Linked DNA regions of Xenopus tropicalis. The protein of the gene in region 1 interacts with the protein of each later gene in a biochemical or structural test. Links are inferred from orthologs where the notes say so. Each region holds a gene or a part of one and is shown in the gene's direction. Other genes may lie near its edges.

Region 1 (2,426 bases):
CAGGAGAGGGAAGGAGGGGATAGAGGTGCAGGAGAGGGAAGGAGGGGATAGAGGGGAAGGAGGGGATAGAGGGGCATGAGAGGGAAGGAGGGATAGAGGTGCAGGAGAGGGAAGGAGGGATAGAGGTGCAGAACAGGAAATGGAGGCTAGATATACAGGAAAATGAGGGCTGGATGTGCAAGAGAGAGAGAGAGAGAGTGACCAATAGAGGTGCAGGAGAGGGAAGGAGGGGATAGAGGGCAGGAGAGGGAAGGAGGGGATAGAGGGGCAGGAGAGGGAAGGAGGGGATAGAGGGGCAGGAGAGGGAAGGAGGGGATAGAGGGGCAGGAGAGGGAAGGAGGGGATAGAGGGGCAGGAGAGGGAAGGAGGGGATAGAGGGGCAGGAGAGGGAAGGAGGGGATAGAGGGGCAGGAGAGGGAAGGAGGGGATAGAGGGGCAGGAGAGGGAAGGAGGGGATAGAGGGGCAGGAGAGGGAAGGAGGGATAGAGGGGCATGAGAGGGAAGGGAGGGATAGAGGTGAAGGAGGGATAGAGGGGCAGGAGAGGGCAGGAGGGATAGAGGTGCAGGAGAGGGAAGGAGGGATAGAGGGGCAGGAGAGGGAAGGAGGGGATAGAGGGGCAGGAGAGGGAAGGAGGGATAGAGGTGCAGAACAGGAAATGGAGGCTAGATATACAGGAAAATGAGGGCTGGATGTGCAAGAGAGAGAGAGAGAGAGAGAGTGACCAATAGAGCCACAGGACAGTGAAGTAGGGATAGAAGTGCAGGACAGGAAATTTAGAATAGAGGTGCAGGCAAATGAAGGAAGGCTTGTTGTGCAAGAGAGCGAATTGAGACTTCAGAGATACAGGAGAGAGAGGAAGAGCCTGGTACCTAGTTTAGAAAGAGTATAAGGCCAGATGTTGGACTGTCAGAATTTAGAGACAAGCAAGTAGTTCTTCTATTCTCCATAGAGCTAAGTCTCCTCCTTCCTCCCAATGGCAGGAGTCCAGCTCTATAAGCAGTGCGATTGCATTGTATATTTACCCTGTGAGTTGTGACTTCACAGCAGATACTCATTACTTATGTGCAAGAGAACAGTGTATGTTGGGAGAAACCTGCCCCCTGTGTTTGTACCTGCAAGGTGGCAGGGGGTATAGTTTCTGTTCTAACGGTACCACTCTAACGTGATTCCCCTTCTCTTATGGCTTCCCCTCTGCAGAACTGAAGATCCCTGACAACGCCAACGTGTTTTATGCCATGAACTCAGGCGCCAACTACGACTTTGTACTGAAGAAACGCGGCTTCTCCAAAGGCGTGAAGATCAAGCAGGGCTCCAGCTCCACATTGCCCCGCATGAAGCAGAAGGGACTCAAGATCGCCAAAGGCATCTTCTGACACGTGCAAGGTGGTCAAAATGGCCTCGTTGGAGCCCCCTCAACAGGACATTGGTGGGACCAGTGCCCCCCAGAAGGACAGCACTTACAGCTCCAGTCCAGCAGATGACTTCTTGGTTCAGGTGGGAGCAGTCGCGGAGCTCAGGCCGACCCTCGGCTTCCTCTTGTTGACTGTGAGGAGAGAGGAAGCCCTTGCCCATCAACGGGACTCAAAATCTGCCTCCATGCCTTAGGTGCCTTCAAGAGAAGGGTGGGGTGGGACGTAGGAGAAGACGCCCATCGCGTGCAGTAGTGAGGGATTCAGTATTAATGATGCTGGCTATAGCGCGCAACGCCCTCCCTGTGCCGTACTGACACTTTGTGGCATTGCCCTTTCGATGAGGAAGACTATGATCAGGGAGTCGCCTTCTCCTTTTACAAAAGGGACTTCCCCTGAGGGGTTTTCTCACCAACATGAAGCACTTTCCAAAAACCTTAGAAACCCTGAAAGCCCTGGAAGGATATGGCTGGCCTCCAACGTGACCATGAAGGAAGCCATGTTAAATGAAGGCCTGTTAAGGTGGAGACTGACACCGCCCCCTCCCCCCCAGTCCTGCCCTTTCTCCGCCCCCCATCATCCAGTGCAGCATTTCAAATCACACCAAAGATGAATCAGCAACCACCCCCCCACCTTGGAACCTTTCTCTGCCCATTGGTCGATAGTCGCTCTTACCAGCCGGAGAAAGGTGCAAGTACTAAACCCCCTTAAAAATTGTATAGTTTTTTTTTTTTTTGTGTAAATATTCACTTTTTATTTTATTTTTGGAACACTTTGGGGCCAAAATGTGACATTTGTAAGCGATCTCCAGCAACGGCGATGGAGTGGGTCAGTACTGTGGATTTACGTCCTTTGCGTGTGCGTGTAAAAATGTTATTTTTTCTTTTTTAAAGAAATATTTATTGGTTGTAAATAGACAAATGGAGATACTTTAAGCCCCGTGCCAACGTTTCAGCCAACGCCTGGCGCCTTCGGGTAACTGTAAATACGATGAACTGTGTGATGACGTTTGTGCG
Region 2 (4,087 bases), on another chromosome or scaffold:
GAGGAGGCTACTAAGTGTTAGTATGTCGTGCCAAGCCGCCAGTATAGGGACTCAAGAGGATAGATATAAGGTTCCTGGAGCATGGGACAACTGTGAGCTCCGCCTAGCACTGGGGATTGTTTCACCAAGGCAATAATATCTCTGGGGTTTTGTGAACACTACTGCTGTGAGTAACAACTTATGTGATAATGTATTTGAAGTGTTTACTGATTTGTGAGCTTGTACTATCCAAATCAGCACCTCCAGAGAGATAGGGAAGGCATTCCATTAACAGTTATCATTTGTTCTTAAGAACCACTGGTGCCCAAATTAATTGTGAGATCAAGTTCCGTGTGGAATCAGTGTGGTTAAGCCTTCCCCCAGCAGTAATGGAGAGGTCCTCCTGAGAGGAAAGAGGAGTCGCAGGGAGTTGCTAATATTACAGTACAAGGTACTACTAAACAACCTGTTGCTTAAAAAGTCTGCAGGGATTTACGGAATAAAGGAATGACATACAAGTATATATATAAATGGAGAGTTAATATTTCTACGTTTAATGCAATATGTTCTCATATTATACATTGCATAGAGCAGTGGTCCCCAACCAGTGGCCCATGAGTAACATGTTGCTCACCAACCCCTTGGATGTTGCTCCCCGTGGCCTCAACGCAGGTGCTCGTTTCTGAATTTCTGGTAAGGAGGCAAGTTTTGGTTGCATAAAAACCAAGTATAATGCCAAACAGAGCTTTCTGTAGGCTGCCAGTCCACATAGGGGCTATTAAGTAGCCAATTATAGCTCTTTATTGGCACCCCCAGGAACTTTTTTAATGCTTGTGTTGCTCCCCAAAACTTTTTCCATTTAAATGCGGCTCACAAATATAAAAGGTTGCGGATCCCTGGCATAGAGAGACTCATAGGACGGGCAGCGGATCTTTATTTCAAACCCATTTTCAGCACTGGTCTCTTTCTATTGGCTTGTGAGTATGACGCCAAGGTCATACTCCACTCTGATTGGCTGCCGCTGAGGACCGAGCGATGGCTTTTTTTCCTCACAGCATCCTGATAAAAGAAGGCGGATTTGGTGATGCCAGTCCCGTTCTCCTCCCTGTGTTCCTGAGGACCGGTAGTTGCTAAGGCGACAGGTGAAGGAGCCAATGGTAGAGAGGCGAGGGCCATGACGAGCAAAGTGGGCGTAGAGCACTGGCAGAGCGGGGAGTGGGTAGTTAGAGGCCGACGCGAGTCACTGGGGGGCGAATGAGCGAATAACAGCCGCTCCGGGAGAGGGGAGCTCCGGGCACCGGGCCCACGTAGCCCGGCCTTTTTCCCATGTCTCGTAAAGCCGCTGCAGAGGAGGGGCGGCGAGGACGGAGGGGGAGGCGGAGAAGCGGTGCGCTGTGAGGGAGCGGAGGGGGACGATGCGTGAGTATAAGGTGGTGGTCCTGGGAAGCGGCGGGGTCGGCAAGTCGGCCTTGACCGTGCAATTTGTCACAGGGACATTCATCGAGAAGTACGACCCGACCATTGAGGATTTCTACCGCAAGGAGATAGAGGTAGACTCGTCCCCCTCCGTGCTGGAGATCCTGGACACGGCCGGTACCGAGCAGTTCGCCTCTATGCGGGACTTGTACATCAAGAACGGGCAGGGCTTCATCCTAGTGTACAGCATGGTGAACCAGCAGAGCTTCCAGGATATCAAGCCCATGAGGGACCAGATCATCCGCGTCAAAAGGCAAGCGGGGGGGGGGGGGGGAGTAGGGTTGGACGCGGCCCTCCAGCTGTTCAACTACAACTCTCACATTCCGCTGCCAGCTTGGCATTGCCGTACAGCACAGGTGTGGGGCCGCGGCTCTGCATCATTTACTGCACAGAACAAAGGGGGCCCTTAGTCTCTAGTTACTTTTGTTCAACCTGCCAGTAAACTGCCCCCCTGTCTCCAGCCAAGCCGCCTCTCATTGGCTCCTGTGCAGCTCATTGTCCTGTTGCCCTGTTAGTGCCCATTGGGGCAGGCTGGGGTAGAGCCTTCTGCTGTGGCTGCTCCCCTATTGCATCCTTCATTTATTTCTTTTCTTTGTTTGTCTGCCCAGTCCAGCTTTTGTACATGTAATGCTTTATATTATAGATTGGAAACAGAATATTGGTCCCTGCAGTATGACTGACATAGATATTTAATATGTCTGGGTCTTTCCCCATAGTCTCTCTGTTACAGCAGGGAACAATGAGGCTCCTCAGAGGAATCTCAGACACTGGCAGAATTGCAGAGCTTTTTGCTTGATGGCTTTGCTGCACAGTGGAGCCTCAGGGTATTCATATATATATATATATATAAACACAACACATGCTGCTCCCTACTGTCATTCTACTGAGTCATCATGTATCATATATGAACTTGCCTTTAAATAAACATGCACATATGCTCTACTGACCTTATGTAAAGGGATTGAAAGGCACTGAAACCCTCAGCCAAAAGCATCTTAATTACATATGAACATAACAAGCATCTGTGAATATCCTGCCATTATCATCTAAGTCTGTGGCTGTACACAAATTGTCTACATCTGGATAGGCTTTCTATTTAATGGCATGATTTAGTGAAAACCTCTGTGCATGTATACACAAGAGAAGTGTATAATATATATATATATATATATATATATATATATATATATATATATATATATATAGTACAAGTTGTTTTAGACACAAATTGCTACACTAGTAGCACCAGAAAAAACAATGCAAAAATGTGTGAAATACCATCAGTCATGGTTAATACACTTTATATTGGCGATTAAATGAGTTAGAAGTAAATATATGACATTTAAGTTATAAAATATATATATATATATATATATATATATATATATATGCTTGAAACGATCATGCTGTGATATAAAGCAGTCATGCTGTGACCATTAAAGACTATAGATAGGGCGGGTAGACTTGATCTATCCTACCTGTTGTGGGATACCAGCAGATCCAATTCAACAGTGCAGCTTTGGTCCACAAGTTGTGCCTCATTGAATTCATTTATATCTAAGTAGTTGTTAGAAACAGTTTTTCATGAGTATCCAAAGGGCTACAGTGGTACATGGGTTTTTTCATGTTGGCTTTGAGCTTATGGGTATTGGTGAGCTATTTTCCTTCTGTATATTAATGCCATGGGTTGGTGCATGACCATTAACACTAGCTTGCCTACTTGGGCACTTCGGGATTCAGTTTTGATGAAAAAATCAAAAGGCAAAAATCAAAACTTCAGTAGGGTAAAAACTGTAGTGATAGTTGTTTGGCCCACAGGTACAAGTGTTATGATTCCCACTGTAAGCTGAAAAGCAAGCAACAAAATGGTTAGGATAGCCATTGCTCTTAGACCTGTAGCTCATCGGGTTCATTTCATTCTTATACAGTCTGGTTTTGATTCACTAATTTCAATTTTACACAGTGTGTCATCCTCCATTCTCAAACCTGACTACCCATACAATAAAGTAGCTCTTTCTTTGTTGATAGTGGAACTGTGCTTCTTTTCCCTGAATGAATTCCTAGTTATGAAACAGCTTTGTGTCAGCCTCCGATAGTTTGGTGTCTACTAGAATTGTTTAATCCCTTTTCAGTTTAATATCTCCCCAAATGTCTATTATTTAAAGTATAATTATTATAATACTTCCCATAATATGTAGCTATAAAGAACACCAGTGCATTTTCTCTATGTGATGAGGAATGCTGGCCTGAAGAAAAAAAAAATCCATTACTCCAAAGTCCAGTGGTGCGAAGTCACACGGGGCAATTAGTGGCTGCAACTTTTTAAAAAGTTGCAGTGACTAATTGCCCTGCTGCAAATGACACGCAATTAGTCACATCTATAGCAGTTCAATTTCTGCAATTAGTCGCCACTACTGAGTTTTTTTTTAAATTGCGGTGACTAATTGCCCCCTGTGTCTTCACCATGAATTGTGATTATAAACTTGTGTGCGGCGGCTCAACCATAATAATCCATTACTCGCAACACTTTTGTCCAGACATTGCTTCCAGTGACTAGTTGGAACTCTACTGTAGTGTGTGTTCCAACTGAGGATATCTCATTCTCATTTTAAATATGACTATGAAGATTTTA

What was found.
Region 2: the proteins of ralgds (region 1) and rap2a form a complex in vitro, tested with the Homo sapiens proteins (2 studies listed by BioGRID). The link is inferred for Xenopus tropicalis from reciprocal best matches to the Homo sapiens genes RALGDS and RAP2A.

Annotation. Positions count from the first base shown.
Region 1 is NC_030684.2:11,315,712-11,318,137, forward strand, and holds part of ralgds (ral guanine nucleotide dissociation stimulator), read left to right. Parts: intron 1-1,198; coding exon 1,199-1,374; 3' UTR 1,375-2,426. UniProt on the Homo sapiens protein: Functions as a guanine nucleotide exchange factor (GEF) activating either RalA or RalB GTPases and plays an important role in intracellular transport. Interacts and acts as an effector molecule for R-Ras, H-Ras, K-Ras, and Rap.
Region 2 is NC_030678.2:121,612,064-121,616,150, reverse strand, and holds the start of rap2a (ras-related protein Rap-2a), read left to right. Parts: upstream 1-1,287; 5' UTR 1,288-1,394; coding exon 1,395-1,708; intron 1,709-4,087. UniProt on the Homo sapiens protein: Small GTP-binding protein which cycles between a GDP-bound inactive and a GTP-bound active form. In its active form interacts with and regulates several effectors including MAP4K4, MINK1 and TNIK.